Callithrix jacchus: one gene and its partners. The protein of the gene in region 1 purifies or fractionates together with the protein of each later gene. This does not show direct contact. Links are inferred from orthologs where the notes say so. Each region holds a gene or a part of one and is shown on either strand. Other genes may lie near its edges. The genes, in order: PLK1, PPP6C, ZC3HC1, ERCC6L, PRKAR1A, RANBP2 and TMF1.

What was found.
Region 2: the proteins of PLK1 (region 1) and PPP6C purify together in Homo sapiens (affinity purification with mass spectrometry; 4 studies listed by BioGRID and IntAct, with this or other methods). This does not show direct contact. The link is inferred for Callithrix jacchus from reciprocal best matches to the Homo sapiens genes PLK1 and PPP6C.
Region 3: the proteins of PLK1 (region 1) and ZC3HC1 purify together in Homo sapiens (affinity purification with mass spectrometry; 3 studies listed by BioGRID and IntAct, counting the BioPlex papers as one, with this or other methods). This does not show direct contact. The link is inferred for Callithrix jacchus from reciprocal best matches to the Homo sapiens genes PLK1 and ZC3HC1.
Region 4: the proteins of PLK1 (region 1) and ERCC6L purify together in Homo sapiens (affinity purification with mass spectrometry; 9 studies listed by BioGRID and IntAct, counting the BioPlex papers as one, with this or other methods). This does not show direct contact. The link is inferred for Callithrix jacchus from reciprocal best matches to the Homo sapiens genes PLK1 and ERCC6L.
Region 5: the proteins of PLK1 (region 1) and PRKAR1A purify together in Homo sapiens (affinity purification with mass spectrometry; 4 studies listed by BioGRID and IntAct, with this or other methods). This does not show direct contact. The link is inferred for Callithrix jacchus from reciprocal best matches to the Homo sapiens genes PLK1 and PRKAR1A.
Region 6: the proteins of PLK1 (region 1) and RANBP2 purify together in Homo sapiens (affinity purification with mass spectrometry; 3 studies listed by BioGRID and IntAct, with this or other methods). This does not show direct contact. The link is inferred for Callithrix jacchus from reciprocal best matches to the Homo sapiens genes PLK1 and RANBP2.
Region 7: the proteins of PLK1 (region 1) and TMF1 purify together in Homo sapiens (affinity purification with mass spectrometry; 5 studies listed by BioGRID and IntAct, counting the BioPlex papers as one, with this or other methods). This does not show direct contact. The link is inferred for Callithrix jacchus from reciprocal best matches to the Homo sapiens genes PLK1 and TMF1.

Annotation. Positions count from the first base shown.
Region 1 is NC_133513.1:24,285,645-24,289,871, forward strand, and holds the start of PLK1 (serine/threonine-protein kinase PLK1), read left to right. Parts: upstream 1-1,346; 5' UTR 1,347-1,400; coding exon 1,401-1,793; intron 1,794-2,526; coding exon 2,527-2,695; intron 2,696-3,433; coding exon 3,434-3,578; intron 3,579-4,227. UniProt on the Homo sapiens protein: Serine/threonine-protein kinase that performs several important functions throughout M phase of the cell cycle, including the regulation of centrosome maturation and spindle assembly, the removal of cohesins from chromosome arms, the inactivation of anaphase-promoting complex/cyclosome (APC/C) inhibitors, and the regulation of mitotic exit and cytokinesis.
Region 2 is NC_133502.1:173,787,269-173,791,679, forward strand, and holds the start of PPP6C (serine/threonine-protein phosphatase 6 catalytic subunit), read right to left. Parts: upstream 2,897-4,411; 5' UTR 2,802-2,896; coding exon 2,727-2,801; exon of another isoform or gene 2,509-2,726; intron 1-2,508.
Region 3 is NC_133512.1:117,183,145-117,186,945, reverse strand, and holds part of ZC3HC1 (zinc finger C3HC-type protein 1), read right to left. Parts: intron 3,296-3,801; coding exon 3,052-3,295; intron 2,469-3,051; coding exon 2,256-2,468; intron 1,323-2,255; coding exon 1,116-1,322; intron 1-1,115. UniProt on the Homo sapiens protein: Required for proper positioning of a substantial amount of TPR at the nuclear basket (NB) through interaction with TPR.
Region 4 is NC_133524.1:69,461,672-69,466,198, forward strand, and holds the start of ERCC6L (DNA excision repair protein ERCC-6-like), read right to left. Parts: upstream 2,806-4,527; 5' UTR 2,732-2,805; coding exon 2,664-2,731; intron 1-2,663. UniProt on the Homo sapiens protein: DNA helicase that acts as a tension sensor that associates with catenated DNA which is stretched under tension until it is resolved during anaphase. Functions as ATP-dependent DNA translocase. Can promote Holliday junction branch migration (in vitro).
Region 5 is NC_133506.1:124,607,576-124,610,069, reverse strand, and holds part of PRKAR1A (cAMP-dependent protein kinase type I-alpha regulatory subunit), read right to left. Parts: intron 2,222-2,494; coding exon 2,100-2,221; intron 1,226-2,099; coding exon 1,144-1,225; intron 797-1,143; coding exon 624-796; 3' UTR 1-623. UniProt on the Homo sapiens protein: Regulatory subunit of the cAMP-dependent protein kinases involved in cAMP signaling in cells.
Region 6 is NC_133515.1:20,366,199-20,369,999, forward strand, and holds part of RANBP2 (E3 SUMO-protein ligase RanBP2), read right to left. Parts: intron 3,403-3,801; coding exon 3,315-3,402; intron 1,267-3,314; coding exon 1,057-1,266; intron 1-1,056. UniProt on the Homo sapiens protein: E3 SUMO-protein ligase which facilitates SUMO1 and SUMO2 conjugation by UBE2I. Involved in transport factor (Ran-GTP, karyopherin)-mediated protein import via the F-G repeat-containing domain which acts as a docking site for substrates.
Region 7 is NC_133516.1:50,858,011-50,861,811, forward strand, and holds part of TMF1 (TATA element modulatory factor), read right to left. Parts: intron 2,310-3,801; coding exon 2,206-2,309; intron 1,570-2,205; coding exon 1,443-1,569; intron 656-1,442; coding exon 550-655; intron 1-549. UniProt on the Homo sapiens protein: Potential coactivator of the androgen receptor. Mediates STAT3 degradation. May play critical roles in two RAB6-dependent retrograde transport processes: one from endosomes to the Golgi and the other from the Golgi to the ER.

The DNA of each region.
Region 1 (4,227 bases):
TGGACAAAGGGGTATAGCTGGTAACTGGGGCAAACTGAAAGCACGTAGGCACAGAGTAGCTAGCACTTGTAATTTTTTCAGGAAAAGCCACATATCCTAATTTTTATGAGCTCTTCTTTTAAATGCTGTAAATGTTTTAGAAGGGCTGGGTGCGGTGGCTCACACCTGTAATCCCAGCACTTTGGGAGGCCGAGGAGGGCAGGTCACTTGAAGTCAGCAGTTTGAAACCAGCCTGGCCAACATGGTGAAACTGTCACTACTAAAAAAAAAAAATGAGCCGGGCCTGGTGGTGGGCTCCTGCAATCACAGCTACTTGGGAGGCTGAGGTGGGAGGATTGCTTTCAGCAAGCCAAGGTTACAGTGAGCCGATCGGGCCACTGAACTCCATCCAGCCTGGGCGACAGAGGGAGACTCCATCTCCAAAAAAAAAAAAAAAAAAAAAAGGAGGCCTAACAAAACCCCGCAAGACACATTGGCTATGACCTACGAGTTTGTTAGGCATTTTTCCAACCTTACCTCCCTTTGACCAAGAAACAGTGTCCTCCATTTTAGGCCCTGGGAAATTCAGCAGCGAGCAGGCCAGACAGCTTCGTTGCATCATGGGGGGCTCTGGTACTGTGCTTCTCCAACTTCAGGATGTGTAGGAATCACCTGAGCAGTCTTGTTGAGAGGCGGACTCTGACTCGGGAGATCTAGGGTAGGGCCTGAACATTTGCCTTTGTGGTTCTAACAAGCTCTCAGGTGATGGGGATGCTGCTGTTCCCTGGCCCCTCCTTTAAACAGCGCTGCTCCATAATCTTGAGGAGCTCAAAAGCAGCAGTTATTTGAAGGAGCAGGACTACAGTACTGGCCATGAAGGTATGTTTGGCAAGCACACTTTTACTTAATTTTAATTCATTTGGGGTGGCTTGGCTGAGAGCTGACAGCATCGGAGGCGAGTGTTAAGGCTCTCCCAAACTACTTTATTGGCGTGCCAGGTCCCTACTCAGCTTACATACTAGGTGGGGTGGAGGTGGAGGAAAGTCTAAGGAAAAGCTTAATGGAGGAGGCGCAAGTGAACTGCAGGAGCTTTCCCGGACGCCCAAGAAAGGGAGAAACCCTAAAGAAATTCCTCCCTTCTCGGGCCGGGTCTCCGTAGCCACGCCGGGTTTGGTTTCCCAGGCTATCCCACGTGTTCGGGTGTCCCTGTCAATCAAGTTTTCCCCGGCTGGGTCGGGGTTTAAAGGCGGCTGCGGGGCAGGGCGCTCCCATGGTTCCGCGCGGCGAGCGGGTTTGGATTTTAAATCCCCGCGACCAATCAGTAGCGCGCAGGCTTTTGTAACGTTCCCAGCGCCGCGTTTGAATTCGGGGAGGAGCGGAGCCTCTGCTCGGATCGAGGTCGGCAGAGCAGCTCCGAGAGCATGAGTGCGGCGGTGACTGCGGGAAAGCTGGCACGAGCACCGGCCGACCCTGGGAAAGCCGGGGTTCCCGGAGCTCCAGCGGCGGCCCCACCAGCGAAAGAGATCCCAGAGATCCTAGTGGACCCACGCAGTCGGCGGCGCTATGTACGGGGCCGCTTTTTGGGCAAGGGCGGCTTTGCCAAGTGCTTCGAGATATCGGACGCGGACACCAAGGAGGTGTTCGCGGGCAAGATTGTGCCTAAGTCTCTGCTGCTCAAGCCGCACCAGAAAGAGAAGATGTCCATGGAAATATCCATTCACCGCAGCTTGGCCCACCAGCACGTCGTAGGATTCCACGGCTTTTTCGAGGACAACGACTTCGTGTTCGTGGTGTTGGAGCTATGCCGCCGGAGGGTGAGTGTCGCTGCTAGGGAACTGGAATTGCCTGCGGGGCAGTTGGAGAGCCTGGACCTGGAGCAGCTGCTGGAAAGAGTGCCCAGGAAGGGAGTGCCTGGGACTTGGAGCTGGTTGAGAAGGGTGCTGGGAGCCTCCCGCTTAGGTATGGAAAGTGTCTTTGGTAAGGGCTTCTTGCCTCTTGGAACTGCTAGAAGAGTGGGTTCCAGTGAAGTGGAGTCTGAGTCAGGTTGCTGACCGGGAAGTCAGCTTCTGGACGCTGGGGGGAGGGGTGCTGGTAATGGACTCTAGGGCCCTAGAGTGCCCAGGGAGGAGTCCCAAGGTTAGTGAAGCCGCGCACTGGGAGCTTCCGGAGTGGGGTCTGGTCAGTAAGGAGGTAGTTGCAATCCAGACTTCGGTCCTTCCCGGGGAAATAAGAATCAGGAAAGGGATCTGCTGCTGGGCACTCGGAGCTTCCGGAATGGGGCTGAGAGAGGACCCCCAAGTAAGAGAGGAAGCTAGGGGAAGGGGTGCAGCGAATGGTTGTGAGTAGTGTTAAAGGAGGGTCCAGATAGCAATTGTCCTGGAGAATGGGGTGGGGGCTTAGGAAAGGAGAGAAACCCACCAAGACGCCACTTTGATCCGCCAGGAGTCTAGGTCCTGTTCTTCCTTTACCTAGTAGTAACCCTCTCCCTTCCCCACCGGCCTCAGCACCACCCTCCCATCCCTCCTGCCCTCTCCTTCCCACCCACAGTCTCTCCTGGAGCTGCACAAGAGGAGGAAAGCCCTGACTGAGCCTGAGGCCAGATACTATCTGCGGCAGATTGTGCTTGGCTGCCAGTACCTGCACCAAAACCGAGTTATTCACCGAGACCTCAAGCTGGGTAACCTTTTCCTGAATGAAGATCTGGAGGTGAAAATAGGTGAGTTGCTGAGCCTGCAGGGTGCTTGACATCCCTACAAGAGGCTGGAATTTGGAGGAGGCTGGGAGAAAGGATAGGAAGGAGACCAGGAGGAAGGAAGAGGATGGATGGTGAGAAGTTTGGGCGTTGATTGCTTCTATAATTCTCTCCTTTGTCCAGAAATTTAAAACAAACGCCCACAAGTCAGTATCTTGCCTGAAGACACATTATAGCCCCAATACAGGACTTTTTTTCAAATAATTTGAGTTTGTTTCTATTTTTTAAAGTGGAAAGCTTGACATAAAAATTTTGATTCAGAGCTCCTTTTAAACAGGTGAAAGCTCCAGTAATACGAGGGCGGCATTTTCTTAGGGCAGCCCATTGCTGGGCTGGAAAGCAGCTGTCCCTTCTGACATGTTTGCCAAGGTCTCTACTCCTCCCTATTCTTCACAGGCTTGCCAAGTCTTGGCGGTTACTTGCTTGATTCTTGAAGGCACTGGAGTTTTGCTGTCCCTGTCAGTTCCCATTTTGAAGCATAGCCCCTTTCTAAGGGGTAGGGTTGTGAAGGGTCACTGGAGGCACCTCCCTGAGGTCAGCATGGCAGGAAGATTTCTGGGCAAGCCTTGCGGCATACAAGGAGCAGAGGCTTGTGGGATCAAATGGCTCTGCTTCTTGATGGTCAAACCTTAACTAGCTTTCTGCATTGACAGATGGCAGAGGCTGGCATTTAAGTACCCATTCTTCCTCCCTCTGTCCCAGGGGATTTTGGACTGGCAACCAAAGTCGAGTATGACGGGGAGAGGAAGAAGACCCTGTGCGGGACTCCTAATTACATAGCTCCCGAGGTGCTGAGCAAGAAAGGGCACAGTTTCGAGGTGGATGTGTGGTCCATTGGGTGTATCATGTAAGTTGGGAGTTGTCTTTGGATCTGCCTGGTCTCAGCAGGGGCAACTTTGGGACATCCTACTTGGCTGACCTTTTCTATGGACCTTTCTGCCTGCTTTACAGAAAGCCTATTCTAGGGGACAAGTGACCCCCAAACGAAGCCTAATTGCTGTATCTTTCCCTGTCACTGGTGTATCCTATCAGATTTCTGCAGCCTAGGCCATGGGTACAGAGGAGGAGGAGGAGGAGGAGGAGGAGGAGGGGGAGGGAGGAGGGAGAGTCTTCACAGCCTTACTTTAGTCCTTTGCTAGAGTGGTCCACAGGGCAGCATCACCATCATCTGGGAACTTGTATGCGGAATCTCAGGGCCCAGACTACTTACTGGATCAGAATCTGGATTTTTAACAAATCCCTTGGTGATTTCCATGCACAATAAGGTCTTAGAAACACTGATGAGCATTAGCATGGTGGGAGAAATTAGGCCAGGAGTTACAGATGGCAGGATGAGGTGCCAGTGGTCCCTCTGGATTGAGACCATCAGCTGCGATTGGTGGCAGGCAGAGGCTTGGGCCTTTTCAGGTATTATCTTTGTTTTTGGCATAGGTACTAGAGAGTTAGAAATAAGTCATAGCGATGGCTTTCATGTGTCTTTGAGGTGGGTTTGTTTT
Region 2 (4,411 bases), on another chromosome or scaffold:
CGCGCCATTGCACTCCAGCCTGGGTAACAAGAGCGAAACTCCGTCTCAAAAAAAAAAAAAAAAAAAAAAATACAAAAAATTAGCTGGGCATGGTGGCGCGTGCCTGCAATCCCAGCTACTGAGGAGGCTGAGGCAGAATTGCCTGAACCCAGGAGGCAGAGGTTGCGGTGAGCCCAGATCGTGCCATTGCACTCCAGCCTGGGTAACAAGAGCGAAATTCCATCTCAAAAAAAAAAAAGAAAAGAAAAAAAGAAAAACAAATAGAAGCAAAGTATAATGCAGTTGTGTTCAATAGGAAATAAAATGGTCTAAAAACTATATTTCATTAAGGTAAGAAGGAAATCTAATGTTTATCAAAGTAAGAGGTCCAAAGAAGTCCAACAGATTCTTTTTTTTTTTGTGAGATGGAGTCTCCCTCTGTCACACAGGCTGGAGTGCAGTGGCTTGATCTTGGGTCACTGCAACCTCCACCTCCTGGGTTCAAGCAATTCACCCTGCCTCAGCCTCCCAGGTAGCTGGGATTACAGGCACTCACCACCACGCCAGGCTAATTTTTGCATTTTTTAGTAGAGATGGGGTTTCCCATGTCGATCAGGCTAGTTTCGAACTCCTGACCTCAGATGATCCGCCCACCTTGGCCTCCCAAAGTGCTGGGATTATGCCATGCCTGAGACGTTATCATAAAAAAAAAAAAAACATTTTATTTATCATAAACACAAAGTTTAAAAAAGCTTTACACATGATAAATAAAAAGAAAAAATTCCAAATCAATTCACTGACATGCAATAGTCAACCTCACCTACAGGATTAATAATGCTACTAAGAGGTCTGGTTAGTTTTCCATGAATTGGATCCCAATGCTAGTTGTATTCTTATTCCAAAAAAAAGAAAAAAGAAACACGCATAGCAGAAAGAAGCCACAAAACAAATGTCTGAAGGACTGATGAGTATGTATGCTACATTGCTACTAATGAAGGCTCTATCCTTATTTTAAATTATCCTATTAAAAATGGGAGCATACACAAGAATGACTCCCCTATAATATGCTTCATAAAATTAACATATAAGTACAATTCAGTTACATTCACAACAGCATGTGTGGCCTCAAACATTATGCATACTTGTTGACTTATGTTAAGTATCAACTTCCAATACCAAAGAAGAAACAAACAAAACCCACAGTAATATATTTCTTGAAGAATACACTAAGATAAATAACTAGCACAAGCTGATAAGCACTGCTAGAAACCTAATAAGCACTGGTTTCACCAAATGCATAAACACTTTTCAAAAAAGCAGCATACCTAGGACGGGTGCGGGGGCTCACGTCTGTAATCCCAGCACTTTGGGAAGTTGAGGTGGGCGGACCAATTGAGGTCAGGAGTTCGAGACTAGCCTGGCCAACATGGCAAAAACCCGTCTCTACTAAAAATACAAAACAGCCGGGTGTCAGCCACCTACTCGGGAGGCTGAGGCAGGAGAATCACTCGAACCCAGGAGGCAGAGGTGCAGTGAGCCAAGATCGCGCCACTGCACTCCAGCCTGGATGACAGAGTGAGACTGTTTCAATAAAAAATAATGATGGAAGGGAGCGGTGGCTCACATCTGTAATACCAGCACTTTGGGAGGCCAAGGCGGGCAGATCACGAGGTCAGGAGTTCAAGATCAGCCTGGCCAACATGGTGAAACGCCATCTCTACTAAAAATACAAAAATGAGCCAGACGTGGTGGCATGTGCCTGTAATCTCAGCTGCTCAGGAGGCTGAGGCAGGAGAATCGCTTGAACCCAAGAGGCGGAGGCTTCAGTGAGCTGAGATCAAGCCACTGCACTTCAGACTGGGCGGCAGAGACTCCGTCTCAAAGAAAAATAAAATAAATAAATAAATAATAAGTTGAAAAGAAAAGCAGTATATCAAACTCATTCCTTTACCCATACATACATTTACTTGGACTCAAGGGCAACGAGGAACTCGTCTTCTTTAGAAAACCAAGAAAACGAAATCTTGAGTTAAGAAGGGGTTAAGGGGAAAGTATTTGTATTTATTAAGAACCAACTACTTTCTCCACTTCAGTAAGCTCAACAAAATACTCAGAAACGGGTTCACCTCTGAATTAGCAGAAGAAAACCCACGGTCCTAAAAGGCAATTTGGAGAAGGTGGAGGAGTGGCAGAGAAGAGGGACGATCTGACATTCGCTCTCGTCAGTACCAAACCACTCGGACCCACCGCCTTCCCCTTCCTCAGAGACCTAAACAAACTGGGGCCGCGTTGCAAGAGCCTGTGGCAACTCCTGTCAGACGCCGGCCACTCTGCGCTCCTGTCACCTCCAACGGGGACGATCCCATCCCGAGGGCACTGCCGCGGGGGCTCGGCAGTGAATGCCGGAGATCCCGGGAAGGGGTGGAAAGCTGCTAAGCAAAGCTGTTGCAGCTACGGGTCCTGGGGCAGCCCGAAGGCCAAAAGGGGCGACCCTGGGGTAGAGGCCGCGAAATCCCTTGGGATACCCACTGAGGCAACTAGGACATCATTTGGGGGACTTGGTTCCCCCAACCATTGGCGTGACGCCGGGTCGGGCCGGGTCGCATGGCATCGGAGAGGGCCCTCCACCGCGGAGAGACGGGATACCCGGCGGGGGTCCCACGAAGAGAGGAAGGGCGGGCCGGCGGGCGCCCCACAGCCGGAAGGGGCGAGCCTGTAAGCAGCGCTCCCGCCCCGGCAGGGCTCACCTTCAGGTCGTTCTCTGGCAGGTATTTGCACAGCCGCGCTATCTCCACATACTTGTCTAGGTCTAGCGGCGCCATTTTGAGAATAACAAGCCGCGGCGACAGCGGCGGGGTCGGCGGCGGCGGCGGCTGTAAAAGCAGCGGCGGCGGCGGCAGCGGCGGAGGCCGAAGCCGGAACTCTCCTACGTCACGTCCGGACCGTGAGTGGCGTCTGCGCAGCGCCGTTAAAGCGCGACCCGCTTCTCCCCGCTACCTCGGTACGCCCGGCGCCCCCTCTGGCTGAACCCCGGCTGCAGGCCCCAAGAGGCCCCCCCATCGGTCCAGCCTGCGAATTCTGATGGGACCCGTAGTCGCCTGCCGCGGGTGTTGCCGGGATTTGTAGTTTTCCGTTGTGGACAGCCACCCCTTTCTTTTCCTCCCCTTCAGTTCCTCCAGACTTTCACCTCCCGGCAGCGGGCGAGGCTTTTCCGAGGCAAAACGGCGGAGTAGGTCGTCCTAGCCACTCACTCGTTTCTCCTTCCAACCCTTTTAAGCACTCTCTCACTTTCACTTAACAACTGGGTAAGCCTGGCCGTAGTAACTTGTTTGCATCTTTCCAAGTGCCTGTGAAAACCTCGCTTAAGCCTGTGGCACAAATGTCAGGCTCCAGCCTGAAAGGAAGATAAAGAAATATTAAAGCATTTCTTGGCCGGGCGCGGTGGCTCACGCCTATAATCCTAGCACTTTGGGAGGCCGAGGCGGGTAAATCACGACATCAAGAGATCGAGACCATCCTGGGCAACAAGGTGAAACCCCGTCTCTACTAAAAATACAAAAATTAGCTGGGCATGGTGGTGGCGCCTGTAGTCCCAGCTACTCGGGAGGCTGAGGCAGGAGAATTGCCTGAACCCAGAAGGCGGAGGTTGCGGTGAGCCGAGATCATGCCATTGCTCTCCAGTCTGGGTAACAACAGCGAAACTCCATCTCAAAAAAAAAAAACATTTCTTATGCTAAATGCGATACAAATTCTATTTTTCCATTTAATCTTTGTAACAATTGGTAGGAAAGTGAGACTTGGAGGCTTTAAGTAGTTTACCCCAAATCTCACAGGGAACAAATGGTGGGGCCAAGATTGGAAAATGGCTTAAGCTTAAGCATACTTCCAGTGAGAATCCCACGAAGGCAGGGAGTTTTCTGCTGTGACTCCAGCACGGAGAACAGTACCGCATACCTTCAGTAGTTTATTCAACCGCTCTTTATTGAGCAACAAAGATGTACCAGGTACAGCTGCAGGCGCTTGGAATACTTAGTGAACAAAATAGACAAAGATCTCTATCCTATCTGTAGCTACAAAAACTACCAAATTTAGCCGGGGGCAGTAGTGCGTGCTTGTGGTCCCAGCTACACTGGAGGCTGAGGCAGAAGAATCGCTTGAGCCCAGGAAATGGAGGTTGCAGTGAGCTGAGATCGTGTCACTGCACTCCAGCTTGGGGGACAGAGCGAGATCCTCAAAAATAAATAAAATAAAATTAGTAAAAGGAAGCTGCTGTATGGGACTGGGGTGGGGGTGCAATAGCTCTAGCTAAGAGATCAGTTAGGAGACTGTTATGTCATCCAATTGTAGCAGGTGCGCAATACATATTTGTTGCTCAAGTGACCCTGGAATGAATCCTCTCACTCTCTACAGTGTATTCTGTGGACGTTTGGCT
Region 3 (3,801 bases), on another chromosome or scaffold:
GCCAAGGAGAGACCCAGTGTTTAGGGTTCCATATTGCCCAGCCTATCACTTCCAATCTTTACACACAGCAAACACTTGACTTTTCTTCTCAGTCGACACCCACATTTGTAACCCACAGCAGTCATGGCTGCAATGGCTAGTAGAGTCACAGTCTGGGCTGTGGAACAGAGTAAAGTAATGTGGCCAGCGTGCAGAATGAAGCCATCATCTTGGTGACAGAGTCCAGTGCTCCAAACAGCTAAGTTAACTGGCCAGGTGCAAGTGATGGCAACTGAAAGAAAAAGCAACTGTCTGCAACATGAGGCTGGAGCAGCTGCCTATTCATCTATTTCTGTTTCTGTACTCCTTTTCTACTTGGAGTCATTTTATTTAAGAGAACAAAAGAATTTATCAGAACTTGATGGAATGCCATATGCTAAAGTGCAGAAAGACAAACCAGTTCTACGCCTATTCCCAAGGATGAAAGCAAAATGAGTCTAACTTGACCTATTAGCCGGGCACAGTGGCTCACGCCTGTAATCCCAGCACTTTAGGAGGCTGAGGTCGGTGGATCATGAGGTCAGAAGTTTGAGAACAGCCTGGACAACACGGTGAAACCCCATCTCTACTAAAAATACAAAAATTAGCTGGGCATGGTGACGGGCACCTGTAATCCCAGCTAGTCAGGAGGCTAATGCAAGAGAATCGCTTGGAACCAGAAGGTGGAGGTTGTAGTCAGCTGAGATTGTGCCACTGTACTCTAGCCTGGGCAAAAGAGCAAAACTCCGTCTCAAAAAAACAAAAACGTCTTTGTGTAGTTTGTAGGAAAAAGAAAAAAAAGGAAAAAAAAAATTAGCTGGGTGTGGTGCCTGTAGTCCCAGCTACTTGGGAGGCTGAGGCGGGAGACTCACTTGAACCCAGGAGGCAGAGGTTGCAGTGATAGAGATCACGTCAGTGCATGCCAGCCTGGGCAGTAAGAGCAAAACTCCGTCTCACAAACAAACAAACAAAAAAACTGAAATAACTTGACATATGAAAGCTGAGGGCAGGCAGGGTGCTAATTATAGGACCAGCCTCTGCTCCTCCTCCCATAAACAGCAAGGGCTGTCCACGCACAAGGTAATAGCTTATCTCACCACAGAGTCTGTTTCAGCTGGCTGGCTAGACTGTTTGTGGGCCAACAGGATGGTCAGCACTGTCTTCCAGCCTGGCTCTGCTGGGGCGCTAGCATCTGGTTCAGTTCCACCATTCTCCCTGCCTTCTTTGTCAAGTGTGATATTCACCCAAGGGCACCAGTCTCTATGCTGAGAGGTGGGATCAAAGAAGCTTCGGGAAGATGTGTCCTGAGGAAGGAGAAAAAGAAATAGCATTCATGGGCAGATGCTATGTAAGTTCAGGGAGGCACTGCTATTAGTCATCAAATCCAGAATCTCACAACTACCCATACTTCAAGTGTTTATGCTCTCCTTTAAACTCTGCCAAGATATTTTCCTTATTTTTTCACTCCTTTCGTGTTAAACAAACTATACCTTATCACAAGGGATAGGGGATACCCCACCCCCAGGCCATGGACGGGGACCAGGCCATACAGCAGGAGGTGAGCAGCAGCCAGGCAAGGAAAGCTTCATCTGTATTTACAGCCACTCCGCATCCTTTATTACTGCCTAAGCTCCACCTCCTGTCAGATCAGCAGCGGCATTAGATTCTCATAGGAGCAGGAACCCTACTGTGAATTGCACACTTGAGGGATCTAGGCTGCTGGCTCCTTATGAGAGTCTGACACCTGATGATCTGTCACTGTCTCCCATCAACCCCAGAGGAGATCATCTAGTTGCAGGAAAACAAGCTCAGGGTTTCCACTGATTCTATATTATGGTGAGTTGTATAACTATTTCATTACATAAAAAGTACACAATACATGTAATGTGCTTGTATCATCCCCAAACCATCCTCTAAACTCCGGTACGTGGAAAAATGGTCTTCACAAAAACGGTCCCTGGTGCCAAAAAGGTTGGAGACCACTGCCTTATCAGGTTTGTCCCCGTATCACACTGCTGCTCCATTTGCCTGAGATATCTATTATTTCTCCAGAAGCTACCCCAAAGGAGCAAATGACTGACATTTTTTCCCTTTGGTCACCCAACTTTAAACTTAGTCACATGGTCTACTTTTTGCACTGGACCATGGAAGGGCTCATGCCTGCTTCTCCAAGCTGCCCAGGGAAATCCCAACATGCTGTCTATGTTCAGCCACTGCTAGATGCGAGGTGGACTCACCGAACTGCTGGAGGAGCAGAGGCGAGCTCGCTTGGCCTTCCGAAGAGGGCTAGATGGTACCTCCAGGCCAGGGGTGTCTCCTGTTCCCATGCTTCGGGTCACTGGGCGGGTTCTGGTGGTGGGGCTAGCAGCCTCTGGCTCAGGACGGTCAACAGGACTGGAGGAGTCCCAGCTCCGAGTTCGAGAGACAATGGGACCAGGGCTCTTTTCAGCCTGAAGGAAAGGGGAGATAATGGAAGTACGAAAATGATATTAATGATCATGGTCAGAGATACTTCTTTATTTAATCTTTTTTTTTTTTTTTTGAGACAGAGTCTTGCTCTGTCACCAAGGCTGGAGTGCAGCGGGGTGATTTCTGCTCACTGCAACCTCTGCCTCCCAGGTTTAAGTGATTCTCCTGCCTCAGTCTACCAAGGGCTGGGACTACAGGCCCCACATCATGCCTGGCTAATTTCTGTATTTTTCATAGAGATGGGGTTTCACCATACTGGCCAGTGTGGTCTCAAACTCCTGACCTCAAGTGGTCCGCCTGCTTCAGCCTCCTAAAGTGCTGGGATTACACCATGAGCCACCACATCTGGCTGAATTTAGCTTCTCCATTAGTGAACAGAAACACCACGTGGCATTGTAACCAGTGTAGTGCAAAGTGAAGCCTATCTCCCTAAATTAATTTCCAACTTTCTAGCAACAACATTTTTGCCAAGAATGTTGTTTCAAAGTCCACCCCAGTTCAATTCATTCACTTCAGAAGACAGTTAAAAAAAAAAAGTCCACCCCAAACAAGCTAAGTGCATACCTGCTCTGAGCCTGGGGAGAAAGTGGCATCCTGGCTCCGGGTCATCATCCTCCGAGGAGATTCAGGCACCAGAGGGAAGCGCTCTGGCCGCCCCTCAAGCCCTGGGATAGGGGAGCTGGTCAGGCCAAATGATGTGTCCAGATCAGCTATGGACGACTCAATCTGCTGGAAGCCCCAGAGCCCCACCTTCCTCATACACTGCGAACATGTTATCAGGCAGAGCTGCATGGGTTCCAAAGAGGAACTAGACAGAAATGAAAAAGAGAGTTTTCTCAAAGTGTCATATTTCCAAATGACTAAGTGTAATGTCTTGTGAGTATGTTTCATCTCATCCAATTTCTGGAACAGTCCAGTGGACGGGAACCATGTCCTGTCAGAGCCTTTGTGTTCCAATCTCAGGACCCCAGCTTCATGCTTCATCATCTCTCATGTATTTCCCATAGAAGGACCTGGGGTTCTTAGTGTGCTCTCTATGGTGAGACTGTTTTGCAGGCATGTTTTAAAAATTTCTCCTGTCCCTCCTTAAACCTTTTCCCTTTACATGAAAAACATTCCTTAATCTACCAAAGAGAGCATATTTAAAATAAATCAAGATTTATTTACTGTCAGAACCAATCTTGACTTATTTTAAATATGCTCTCTTTGGTAGATTAAGGATAGTGGAAGTCTCTGCCAAATTGAGCAGCTGGAATGGAAATAGCAACATGGGGGGCCTTAAGGACTCCAGCTGGTGTTTCCTATGGTAGTTTT
Region 4 (4,527 bases), on another chromosome or scaffold:
AGTGTGAAAGAGAAAAAAAATAAGTTAAAGTTGTATACGAGGAAGTTATTTGACTCTGAACTTCAAACTCTATAAGGAGAGAGAGTTTGAGAACCTGAGGGGTGTGCAACAGTGAAAGATGCAATCAATGAACTACAGGTCCCAATGACATCAAATGGCTGTTGGAATAGGTGTACTAGAGGGAGTAAGGTAGAAGTTGGAGAGTAGAATGCTTAAATGGTGGTTAATAATGGAAATGTAATAGCAAGTATGATTCTGCTAGGTGTGGTGGCTCACGCTTATAATCCCAGTGCTTTGAGAGCCAGAGGTGGGAGGGTCACTTGAGTGCAGGAGTTCAAGACCAGCCTGGGAAACCCAGCGAGACTCCTCCATCTCTACAAAAATCTTTTAAAAATTAGCCAAGCTTGGTGGCACACACCTGTAGTATATGTTTATATGCACAGTAAGTCCTCAGTTAACATGGTCAGTAGGTTCTTGGCAACTGCAACTTTAAGCAAGATGATGCATAGCAGGCCCTTGAATAACACTGGTTCATTCAGTATCATTTTACTGCAACACTGATGAGAAAAATACTGGTTTTACTATGTCATTCACTTAAAGTCACAGTTTCTAAGAACCTATGGACAATGTTCAGTGAGGACTTACTGTATCCACACGCACACACATCTTTGCCCACTCGTGTAGTATATTTGTAGAAGAAAATACTAGAAGTTCTGGTTTCAAAAGTAAAACTATGTATCTTAACTTTTGAGTTGACTCATATAGCTCATCACACACCAGCCTGAGAAAATATAAATAAATTCTTTTTTTTTTATTTTTTGAGACGGAGTTTCGCTGTTGTTACCCAGACTGGAGTGCAATGGCACGATCTCGACTCACCACAACCTCCGCCTTCTGGGTTCAAGCAATTCTCCTGCCTCAGCCTCCCGAGTAGCTGGGACTACAGGCACGCACCACCATGCCCAGCTAATTTTTGTATTTTTAGTAGAGATGGGGTTTCACCTTGTTGACCAGGATGGTCTTGATCTCTTGACCTCGTGATCCACCTGCCTCGGCCTCCCAAAGTGCTGGGATTACAGGCTTGAGCCACCACGCCCGGCCCCTATAAATAAATTCTTACTCACACTATTGATTTTATTAAACTCTGGCATGGTTTTCTTGAATAGCGATTTTAAATACACATCCCCTAAGACCAGCAATCCCACTTCCAAAGTGTATACTCAGTTAAAAAGTGCACAAAGGCTGCCTATTACAACAAAAGTATAATGGCAAACAATTGGAAAAATCTGAATGAAAGACCTGGCATGGTGGCTCATGTCTGTAATCCCAACAGTTTGGGAGGCTGAGGCAGGAGGACTGCCTGAACTCAGGAGTTCAAGACAAGCCTGGGCAGCATGGCGAGACGCCATCTCTACTAAAAGTACAAAAAAAAATAGCCGGGTGTGGTGGTATCCGCCTGTGGTCCCAGCTACTGGGAAAGCTGAGGTGGGAGGATCACTTGAGCCCAAGGGGGGGGGGGGGGATGGAGGTTGCAGTGAGCCGAGTTAGAGATTACGCCACTGCACTCCAGCCTGGGTGACAGAGCCAGACCCTGTCTCTAAAAATATATACAAAATAATTTAAAAAAATAAAAAATAAATTAGCTGGGCATGGTGGCACCCACCTATAATCCCAGCTGTTAGGGAAGCTGGGGCAGGAGGACTGCTTGAGCCCAGGAGTTCAAGGCTGCAGTGAACTATAATGAGGCCATTGCATTCCAGTCTGGGGGACAGAGCAAGATCCTGTCTCAAAAAAAAAGTAGTAAAATTCATAGAGACAGAATACTTGTTGCTAGGGGCTGAGGGGAGGGGAAAATGGAGAGTTGTTTAATGGGAGTAGTTTGTTTTGCCACATGGAAAAAAAGTTCTGGAGGTGATGGACAGTTGCACAATATGAATGCAGTTAACAGTACTAACTGTACATTTAAAAATGGTTAAGGTGATACATTTTATTTTCCGTAAAACCCATCTCCTGCACAAAAAAATTTTATGTTATGTGTACTTTACGACAATTTAAGAAAAAATTTAAATGCTCATCCCAACATTACCATGCCCCCCCACCCTTAGCCAATTGCTGAATGTTTACTCATTTTTCAACGCACAGCTCAAATGTCTCCTCTTGCCACTCCATCCCTTGGCTGACCACTCTTGTAGTTGGCCATCCCCTCGTTTATGCCAACACGATGCCCTGCACGTACCTTATACCGCTTACAGCACTTATTAAATATAGTAATTATCGCTTCGCAGATCTGTTTCCACTACTAAATTACAAGCAATCTGGGGCGCAGGGACCTTGTTTTACTCATCTCTGTATCCCCTAGATTTGGGCCTTGATAAACTGAAAAGAATCAAGAAAGGTTTGATTAAAGCATTGGCTCTTAAGGAGCTCATACCAGAGGGTCATTTGCCCAAAAGGAGAGGCATCGGGGTCTCCCCAAGTTTTAGAAATCTGGTCAAACATCCAGAGCTTACTACCACACCCTACTGCGAGAAGAGAGTGAGCACGCGTCTCACAAGGCTCCGCCTCAGCAGTTTCAGTCCCCAGAGGGATACGGGGGGGGGGCCACCCCACCTCCGCCCTAGGCCAGGTCGGTTAGCTAAACCCGCCCAGCAGCCCAAACATACCTCAGGTAACGAGCAGCCTGCTCTGAGCTCAAGGCCTCGGCTTCCGGAAACCTTCCGGACGCCTCCATGACCCTCGAATCCGGTTCCAGCTACCTCGGCAGGAGCTTGGAGCTTGAATTTCGCTCACTGCCGCCCTGCGCATGCTCTCTGAGCCTGTGGAAAGGGACGCAGTCAACCGTCGGCCTCGCGGCTGGCCAATCCCCTACCGCACGCTACGACGCCACCGCCTGAACCCCGCCCATAAACGCGCGCCGGGAGATAGGAGGCCATCTCTGCCTGCAACACACTGAGTGTGTTGCGTCACTCTGTGGCGCCTCGCGTTTTAACCCAGTTCAAACCATGCTGCGACCAATTCGTTTGCGCGTGCGTGTTCCATCACTGTGCGTGGAGGAGACTTCCCAGTATGGTCTCAGTCGTTGTAGCAACACCTGGAGATCTCCTCCGCCGCCTGTGTCCCCCCAACCAACCCCGCCTCGCATCCACAGATATCCTCTATTCCTTGATCACTAGTACCTGGCACGGAGCGTGCTTTGAATTCAAACACCCTGGGAGGCATAGTCTCTATGATTTAAACTCACATTGAAGAAGCGACCGGGCGCGATGGTTCACGCCTGTAATCCCAGCACTTTGGGAGGCTGGGGCGGACAGATCACTTGTGTCAGGAGTTCGAGACCAGCTTGGCCAACATGGTGAAACCCTGACTCTACTAAAAATACAAAAATTAGCCGGGCGTGATGGCGGGCGCCCGCAGTCCCAGCTACTCGGGGCTGAGGCATGAGAATCGCTTGGACCTGGGAGTTGGAGGTTGCAGTGAGCCGCAATTGCACCACTGCACTACAGCCTGGGTGGCAAAGTGAGATCCAGTCTCAAAAAAAAAAAAAAAAAAAAAAAAAGGCTGGGCGCAGTGCCTCAAACCTGTAATCCTAGCCCTTTGTGGGGGGGGGGGCCGAGGTGGCGGGGAAGGGGAGGGAAATATCACTTGCATTCAGGAGTTCAAGACCAGCCTGGGCAACATAGTGAAGTCTCTATTTTTTTTAATTTTTAATATTTTTTTCTTTTCCACAGGGCGTTATGCTGTATTTATTTTGAAGAGAGAGAGAGAACGGTCTTCAAGAATCTCGAACCTGGGTGGTGGAGGCTGCAGTGAGCCAAGATTGTGCCACTTGCACTCCAGCCTGGGTGACAGAGCAAGACTCCAACTAAAAAAAAAAAATTAAAGTTCTTATTTAAGAAATAAGTAGTTAGGTTTACATACTTGGTGTAACAAGAGGAAGACAAAAAACAAAGGCTGGGCACGTGGGCTCACGCCTGTAATCCCAGCACTTTGGGAGGCCAAGGCAGGCAGATCACAAGGTCAGGAGTTCGAAACCAGCCTGGCCAACACGGTGAAACCCCATCTCTACTAAAAATACAAAAATTAGTTGGGCATGGTGGCGTTTGCCTGTAATCCCAGCGACTCGGGAGGCTGAGGCAGAAGAATCGCCTGAACCTGGGAGGCAGAGGTGGCAGTGAGCCGACATCGTGCCCCTGCACTCCAGCCTGGGCAACAGAGTGAGACTCCGTCTCAAAAGAAAAAAAAAAAGAAAGAAAGAAAGAAGTTGTGCTGTGGTCACCATTTCTTCAGAAGTCACCATTTCTTCAGAAGCACCAACTAAGATACAGTCATTTTCAAAGGCAGAGCCTTAAAAAAAAAAAAAAAAAAGGCAGAGCCTAGAGCTTAAGGATATGTGATTGAGTTTAAGTGGCTTGCTTGGGTGACACTAAATAGGAAATTATGGGCCAACAAAAATTGTCCTTGTTCATATACCGTTAAGAACACAGACATGATTCCTCAAGACACTAATTTAGCATTCAGTATTTGAAA
Region 5 (2,494 bases), on another chromosome or scaffold:
TATAAATAAAACCAGGCAGATTAGCTTGGCAAACAAAAATTCTGGTTAAAAATGAAAAAAAAAATTGAACCAATCATAACCCATTGATAATTAGCAAAAATGGGCCTTTTTGCACCCTTAGTTTAATTACAGACAGATGTCTTTCTACTATACTAAGATTTTCTATATCCATTTTCCCTAATCTTTAGAGCTTAATGAGAAACCATTTATTCTACAAAGAAATACAGCATATATGGCCACAGTCTATGCTTATAAATGGAAAATTACGTCACTTTAAAAAAAAATCTTGCACTGTTACATCATTACGCTATGGTAATTCAACAGGTGCTGGGATCAGCCCTCACCAAAAAGCATGGCACTCACTGCCCAGGTTGAATACTAACACTGCACAAAGAGCAGCAGTAACAGCAAAGTCTCCATAGAACTCTATTTATTTAACTGTGTATGAGCATTTAGTTAATGCTCCAAATTGAAAATGGTGCAAAGCAACTTTCAATACATAGACAGACAGGAAGCTGCGATGCCAGTGGCCATTTGGCGCTGCAAGTAGGGAAAATAAAGCAGTCTGCATGAGTGAAGCATGGATTGGGGAGAGAAGAAAAGGGAGGCACAGGAGGCAGATTTCAGACAGACAGTGACACAAAACTGTTGTACTGCTGGATGTTTCGTTTGAGGATGTCTGAGCATGGGCCAAGAACACGTTCAAATCTAGGTCGGTCCAGCTTAACGCACTTCAAGGGGCCACGAGCAACGACTGTGGCAGCACGAGGACGATTCATCAGTAGTGCGATTTCACCTGGAGAAAGGAAAAGAGGAAGGGTAAGGACAGGCTAATTTCTATGAAAAACATTTCCTTAAAGCAGTGCACTTCTGAGAAAAAACACAAATATTTATTTCTCTAATAACTTAGTACAGGGCACACCACATCTACACTTAAAAAACAAACTAGTAGATATGAGACAATCAATAATTTCATTAACTGAGTAAAGATCAAAAAATCTCACACTATATCTCTCAGAGCCAAAAGAGACTGCAATAAAAAAATAAAATTCAGGAAAAGACAAGATTATGGAAGACTACAGTATCTCACTGAGAGGTGATTTAAAGAAACCATGTATTTATTGTGAGGGAATTCATACATACCAAAATAATCAGAAGGCCCCAATCTTCCCACTTCAACAAACTCTTCATTTTCTGACCGTCGTTGTAGCACAGCAGCTGACCCCTACAATAAAATCACCAAAAAGCTAAACAAACACTCTCAAACCCAAGGTGGCATCTTAAACATCCTATGCAATTTTAGCTATCTTGCAAAAATGGGGGGGGGGGCGGTCAATTCAGTGGTTATTTCCATTTACATACGAATGAGATAAAAAAAGGACTTTAAAGTTAGTCACCACATGAGCTTCAATTTCTATTTTACCAGCATCTCCTGCTAGCAAGGTTCTTCAGACTTGGGTTAGCAAACTGTAGAGGAAGGGCTAAATCCAAGTTCGCTGTCTCTTTTGCAAATAAAACTTTATTGGAATACCACATCCATTCATTTACATATTATTTGTGGCTGCTTTTGCACTACAGCAATGGGTCCACAAAGCTTAACTTACCACCTGGTCCTTTACAGTTTCCTGACCCTTGGTTTAAATAAAATCAATTAGCAACTATGGAGCCACATTCATAGATATCTGTCACGTGGATCTGCTTGGCAAGCAAGAGTACCTGCTATACATTTCCATGAAATGTGAAGATATAAAAATACAGGAATTTTTCAAATTTAAATAATTACATTTAATCCTTATTTGCCAAATAGCCCAAATACTTGCATTTTAACAAGGATAGTACAGAATCATCACAGTATGTTGTTAAATGGCTTTCAGAATTTGGCTATTCATGTCTAGGGCCTTTCAAGAATTCTGACTCAAACTCATTTAAAAATGTAGTGACCTGGCAGAAAACCAAACAACAGCATTTCAAAGTAAAAGATAATTTTAAAATAAATTTGTAAGGTATTCTTAAAAACTAAAGCTGTAATTCAGAATTAGCCCACTCTTTCCCTCTATGAGTGTACAACTTTTTAAAGTATCAAATTCCGAGTTCTTTACCTCTAAAATAATGAAAAACTCATCCCCCGGTTCTCCCTGCACCACAATCTTCTGTCCATCTTCAAACTGCACTGGTTCCAATGCATCAGCTACCGTAAGACGTTCCCACTTGTCCAGAGACTCTAAAAGACAAGAATCAAAAGAATTGCTCTGTATTATTTGGTGCTACCATGAAGGTACAAAGAAAGTATAAAGAGATTCAACCAAACAGCCATGCCCATTCAACATTCTAGTAGTGTCTCAGATTAAACATGGTGCCTGTCTTCAATTACCTCTAGGCTGAGCAGGATTCTCATATTACCTGCAGATAGCCCTTAGATCCTTACTTCAGTCCCAGTGGCCAGGTTAATTTATACCAACTGTACCCAATGGCAAAGGAGTAAGAAAACGTAATC
Region 6 (3,801 bases), on another chromosome or scaffold:
ATGCCATGGCTCATGCCTATAATTCCAACATTTTCTTTTTTTGAGACAGAGTCACTCTGTTGCTCAGACTAGAGTGCAGGGGCCCTACCTTGGCTCACTGCAACAACTTCCACCTCTTGGGTTCAGGTGAATATCCTGCCTCAGCCTCCTGAGTAGCTGAGACTATAGGCACATGCCACCACGCCCGGCTAATTCTTGTATTTTTAGTAGAGACAGGGTTTTGCTATGTTGGCCAGGCTGGTCTCAAACTCCTGGCCTCAGGTGATCCACCCGCCTCAGCCTCCCAAAGTGCTGGGATTATAGGTGTGAGCCCCCATGTTGGCCCTAATCCCAACGCTTTGGGAGGCTGAAGCGGGAGGATCCCTTGAGCCCAGGAGTTCAAGACTAGCCTGGACAACAAAGTGAGACCTGGTCTCTACCAATTAAAAAAAACTTATCCGGGCAGAGTGGCATGTGTGTGTGGTCCCAGTTACTCAGGAGGCTGAGGCAAAAGAATCCCTTGAGCCTAGAAGTTTAAGGTAGCAGTGACCTACGATCCAATCATGCCATACACTCCAGCCCGGGTGACAAAGTGAGACCCTGTCTCAGAAAACAACAAGGCCAGTCGTGGTGGCTCACAGCTATAATCCCAGCACTTCAGGAAGCAGGGATCACCTGGGATCAGGAGTTTGACACCAGCCTGCCCAACATGGCGAAACCCCATCTCTACTAAAAATACAAAAAATTAGCCAGCCATGGCGGCGGACTCCTGTAATCTCAGCTACTCAGGAGACGGAGGCAGGAGAATCACTTGAACCCAGGAGGCAGAGGCTGCAGTGAGACCAGATCGCACCACTGCACTCCAGCCAGGGCAACAACAGAAAAACTTGGTCTCAAAAAAAAAAAAAAAAAATACATGCCACCTCCACAGCATCAAATTTGAACCCCGCCTCCTGCCACCCAACCCACACACAAAAGGAATACAGGAAAATATTAAGTCATTATTTCTAGGTAATAAGATTATGGAAAACTTATAAGGATTAAGATGTAGAGTTTCCTTTGAAACATGTAACTTACCAACATCGTATCTAGCCAAATCTTCAAGCTCTGGTTCTTGTACATCAATGTTTCCAATATCATCACTACCAAGAAAAGATCTATCCTTAGGTGACTGACTAGAAAACAGAGCATCGTATAAAGCAGATTGCCCGCTTTTATTGGCAAAAGATTCGACAACCTCTTTTAAAAAATCTTGCTTGCCACGACTTAAGTTTAGCAACATGTGCCCTGAAAAACAAATTATTTCCATCACTTTAAAAATACAGATTGTATTGGCCCACACTATTTGTATACCCAAAGGGAAAATAACATGATTATCGCAGACCTAAACCTCCAACCCAAAAAATACAGATGGACAACAAAAAGGGTGCTTATAAAGAAAATAAATAGAGTACAGGTTTAATATTATCCGTATCTACATAAGACAGCAGAAGGGAGAAAAAAAGACAGAAACATGTATGAAAAATGCCAAACATATTTGCATTTTAGATGAAAAGGTTTGGATTTAAGTGGCCATAGGAAAGCAGCGACAACAAGCTCTTACTCTCCGTTCTGATATACTGATTTCTAAACCTAGCTGATCACAATCCTTCTTTAAACAGCTTTTAAGAATTATTTCCAGGTTCCGCTTCCAGAGATTTTTATTCCACAGGCTCGCAGTAAGTAATCTAAAAATCACTGTCCTAGGATAAAGTACTGACATATGCTACAACACAGATGAACCTTAAAAACCTTGCTAAATGAAAGAAGCCAGTCACAAGAGATCACATACTGTATGATTCCATTTATGTGAAATGTTCAGAATAGGCAAACAGAGACAGAGACAGATTAGTAGTTGCCAAGGCTGAGAGGTTTGGGTAAAATGTGGGCTGACTGCTAATGGGTAAGGAATTCCTCATGGAGTGATGAAAATGTTCTAAAACTGATTGTGGTTAACAACTGTACTACTCTTTGAACACACTAAAAGCCACTGAATTGTACACTTTAAATGGGTAAAACGTACGATATCAGAATATTTCAATTAAACCGTTTTTTAAACACCCTCCTTGGAGTTAATTCTGCTGGCCAATCAATCAGGTTTGGTTACCACTACACAGTTGTGTCAGCATGCTCACAGAGGGCACCCTCGGGATGCCCACATCAGACATAAAAAAATATAGGCGATTTTTTTTTTTTGAGATGGAGTCTCGTTCTGTGACCAAGGCTGGAGTGTAGTAGCACAACCTCCGCCTCCCAGGTTCAAGTGATTCTCCTGCTTCAGTCTCCAAGTAGCTGGGATTACAGGCACACGTCACCACGCCCAGCTCATCCTTGTATTTGTAGTAGAGACGGGGATTCACCATGTTGATCAGGCTGGTCTCAAATTCCCGACCTTGTGATCCTCCTGCCTCAGTCTCCCAAAGTGCTGGGATTACAGGCGTGAGTTACTGCGCCTGGCCAGGGATTTTTATCTAACTGTGACATCCTGCAAAGGCACTAAGAGAGCCCCGCAAGGGTAGAAGGAAAACAGAAAAGGAAAAAAGTAGAAAGACACTTTAAGGACTGAAAGTCTAACTCCCACCAAAAAAAGTGGGCTATGGAATAAAAGAGCAATGTGAGCTTTGGCCAACAGCCTAACCATACACCAAGGCTTATAATAACTTTGATTTAATACTACATCTTGCTCTTTACAAAATTCGTCCAATTTTATATCAAAACATTATGTTTCTTCAGTTCAGTGCTTGATTCACTGGCTACCCGACTACCTTAAAGCTCGTATCTTAGCAAATCACAGGTAATTTGTAACGGACCTTTAGGATTCATCCCAATCAGCCAAAAATGAGAAAAAAAACTACAAATTCCAAGAGCCTAATACAAGGTAAATATGTATCTTCTATCTTCCTCACTAAGCTCTCAGCTCTTTAAGACAGATCCGTATCTTCATCTTTATATTCCCACAGCAGTGCTTTTAGAAGCAGCTGGTGTTAAACGGTTGACAAATCAATAATTATACTTCAGAAAGTGATGAAATATTCAGGATAGAGGCTGTAGCAGCCAGATAAAGAAAGATTTAAGAAATCCTCTCCACCTAGGAACAAACAATATAAAATATTCATTTCTTTTAAAGAATATACTATTTCTTCTCATCTCTTCCACACCTATTGCTCTTAACTGATATGGCAAAAGAAATGATTTTGATAAATTATCTCCTGGACAGACAGAAGATTTTATCATAAGACATGCCTTAACAGAAATTTACCTTTTTTCTTTTTAAATTAGTTTAACATTACCATTACCTGATTGGCTCAGACGGTCACAGGCCATCATTTCCAGCAGATTTTGTCCAGCTTCTCCTTTTATTAATTTAAGCTTTGGTCTTGGAACCTAATAATTTTAGAATCAAATATCTTAATTTTATGATACCCATCCTTCTAATAGTAAGACGGTCTTTTCTATTACACTGTACTTTTTTTGATAATAAATTAACACTTAACCATTAATTAAACTGAACTGGAAAAGACTACCAAAACTGGGAACCAAGGAATTTATATAACCTATGAAAGATAGGCCAGGCCAGGAGTGGATCACATCTGTAATCCCAACACTCTGGGAGGCCAAGTCAGGCAGATCACTTGAGGTCAGGAGTTCAAGACAGGCCTGGCCAACATGGTGAAACCCAGTCTCAACTAAAAATACAAAAAAACAAACAAACAAAAAAAAACCCAAGTGTGGTGGCATACACCTGTAATTCCACCTACTCAGGAGGCTGAGGCATAAGAATAG
Region 7 (3,801 bases), on another chromosome or scaffold:
GACCTCAAATGATCCACCCGCCTTGGCCTCCCAAAGTGCTGGGATAACAGTCATGAGACACCACACCCAGCCAACACTGTTAATTTTAAATCTTCTCAGAGACAAAAATTCTTAATAATTTAAAAATTAAGAATACAATGAAAAATTCACTATCAAATGCCAGAACAATACAATATCATACAGAACCCAAGCTAGGTATTCAGATATTACCTAAATCCCAGAATTACACGCTTTGAATATCTTGGGTTAAATGACAGGCTCTTAAGACCTGTTGACAGTTTTTAGGGCAGCACAAATTTTTGTCTATTTTACTAGGGTCTTACTTTTTTTTTTTTTACTCCCTAAAAACAAAAGCTACAAACACATATCTCTGTCTCAACATATCTTCTTCCTCATTATTTCACAAACTGTTACCTACTATTTCTATAGTTTAAGTCCAAATCCTCCTTGCTTTCAGTATTTTTAATTAGGAAGCATCAGCTAGGTATGTAGCAAATACTTTTCCTATTTTTACAATATTTTCTATAGTCAACTAAATACTTTACGCACCTTCTTCCATTAACCCTCGGATCTGCTCATCTTTCTCTTTCAAAAGGTCTGCAGTTTCACTACTATTTAATCTAGTGGCAAGTTCTTCTTTTATGTTTTTGATTTCCTAATAAAAAAGAAATCTGTGAATACCATAAAGAATTACTTTCACTCTAAGAATAGTTCTCATTTTTTTCCCCCATCCAAAGAAGCTATCCATAATCACATTCTCAATAAGAATCTGTAAGTTTTGTTCAATTAATCTACTACCTTGGTTAACTAAGACTGAGAAAACAGCTTTGAAAATGATATACAAAACCTAAATCCAGATATATAAGCAAGTTTTAATATGAAAACATAAATGAGCATATATTAACTTTCCTTTTTTTTTTGAGACAGGGTCTTACTCTGTTACCTGGGCTGGAGTAGAGTGGGTACAATCACGACTCACTGCAGCCTCAACCTTCTGGGCTCAGGTAACCACAGGCACATGGCACCATGGTTAGCTAATATTTGTATTTTTTGTAGAGATGGGGTCTCACCATGTTGCCTAGGCTTGTCTTGAACTCCTGGGCTCAAGCAATCTGCCCTCCTCGGCCTCCTGAGTAGCTGACTACAGGCGCACACCAGCATAACCAGCTAACTTTCTGCATTTTTTAGTAGTGGCGGGTTCTCACCATGTTACCCAGGCTACTCTCTACCTTCTGGGTTCAAGTGACCCATCCACTTCATCCTCCCGATGTGCTGGGATTACAGGCATGAACTATCACACCTAGCCAAAAATCTACGATTTAAATGTTAATATATGATACCCTTTTTACCTTGCTTTTCTTTTTTTCCACTATCAAAACATGATGAATGTACTCCTCAAAAATCTCTTATAGAGTTTAATATTATTTTTAAATTTCTATTACCTTTTTAGCAGCATCCCTCTCTTTGCAGGCTAGCTGAACTTTCTTTTCTGCTTCTGCAATTCTTTGAGTAAACTCATCTTTCAAGGAAGAAATGCTACTGCTTTCTTCTTTCACTCTGAACATTTCACTAAATTTAAAACAATATTTGAGAATTGAGGATGGTGTTTATATATCCCAAAGGTACACTTGAGTTCAGTTCTCAAAAGGAAGATAACTTTTCTCTGACATATACCTTATTAAAATAGAACAGTTATGGGACTATTAGAACTTTTAAGAAAAAAATAAGGACATTTCCCTTAAGTTTGTTTTAAAATACCTCAAAGAAAACCTTTTAGAAACTGAAAATGTTACCAATATCTGACATGCAAAAATAACAGAAAGTAAATACAGTGTCTCAATTCTGAATCTTTTTGTGTCACATTTTCCCAATCAGCTCCTCATAGTAAACCAATACCCAGTATTTTCTTAAACTACAATAACACAGTTTTCTTTAAATACATGTTTTAAATCTGTAATACTGAAAGACTAAACATGAACGGAAAGAGATTTGCAGTTTTTGCAAAATGACTCTCTTCAATGCCAAAGGTAATATGGTAAAGACAAAGCAGAAAAGTAATCTTTAAGGTTATAACTGAAATCCTATACAACTTTCAATAATGATAAAATTACAAAACATTTTAATTTCAAAAAATTCTTAAATATGTACAAAGTATACAGACCTCCAGAAAATGTGTAACATTATTTACATTTGTAGAATACTTACTCTTTCAGGTTATCATAAGCTTCTTCTAGAAGTGCTTTTTCCTTACTAAGAGATAATAACTGAGCCTCCCTTTTTTCCAGTTTTTCATTCAGAAATTCAACTGTCTGGATAAGGAGAAAACCAAAAAGTCAGCGCACTTAGCTTTAAAAAAGACAATTTCTACATGTAGGTATATCACTATAATAAAGAAAACAGCTTTATCTCATAAAAACAATTAAGAACAATATTAGGAACACAGAGGATGCAGAAAAAGAAGTACTCTTAGGCAGGGGATAGGAGAGTACAAGTAAGTACAACCAAAGAGCTAGTGGGAGTGTAAGTTGAGAAACCACTTGGGAAAACAATTAGGTAATATCTAGTTGGAGATCTATATACTCTTTGATATAGAAAATTTCACTTTTAGGTAAACTTTAGAGGAGAAAATTCTTGCATAAATGCACTAGGTGACGGGGATAAGAATACTTATTGTAGCTTCCTGGTAATCGCAAAAATCTGGAATCGTCTGCATATACACCAAAAGGAGAAGGGAGATGGATCCAATCAAAAGAGGTCAAAGAGAGGATTTAAAGACTATCTTAGCTAGGTAGTGGATATACAAGTGTCTGCTTTCTTTATTATTCTTCACCTGAAACATGTACCCTTTTCTTAGTATGATATGTTGCATTTAAAAAACAGAAGTCCGGGTTCATGCCTGTAATCCCAGCACTTTGGGAGGCTGAGGTGGGTGGATAACCTGAGGTCAGGAGTTTGAGACAAGACTGGCCAACATGGTAAAGCTCTGTCTTTACTAAAAATAAAAAAACTAGCCAAGCATAGTGGTGGGCAGCTATAATCACAGCTACTCAGGAGGCTGAGGCTAGAGAATCACTTGAACCCAGGAGGCAGAGGTTGCAGTGAGCCAAGCTCGTGCCATTGCACTCCAGCCTGGGTGACAAGAGTCAAACTCTATCTAAAAATAAAATATAATCAAATAAATAAATAAAGTAGAGGCCAGGCATGGTGGCTTACACCTGTAATTCCAGCACTTTGGGAGGCCAAGGAGGGCAGATCACTTGAGCTCAGGAGTTTGTGACGAGCCTGACGAACATGGTAAAACTCATCTCTCTCTACAAAGAATACAAAAATTAGCTGCTCATGGTGGCACGTGCCTGTGGTCCCAACTACTTGGGAGGCTGAGGCAGAAGAATTACTTGAACCTGGGAGGCAGAGGTTGCAGTGAGCAGCACTCCAGCCTGGGAAACAGTGCAAGACTCTGTCTTAAAAAATAAATAAAATAAAATAAAATGAAAGTAGGGCTGGGCACAGGTTCATGATTATAATCCCAGCACTTTGGGAGGCCAAGATGGGAGGACTGTTTGAGCCAAGCAGTTCAAGACCAGCCTAGCAACATAGTAAGACCTCATCTCTAGTAAAAATTAAAAAAAAGAAAAAAAAAGCCAGGCATGGTACAAGCCTGTAGTCTCAGGTACTAGACAGGATAAGGGGGAAGGACTGCTTGAGCCCCAGAGGTCGAGGCTGCTCTGAGCCATGATCACACCACTGCATGGGCAACAGCCTGGGCAACAGAGAGAGACCCTGTGAGCCATGATCACACCA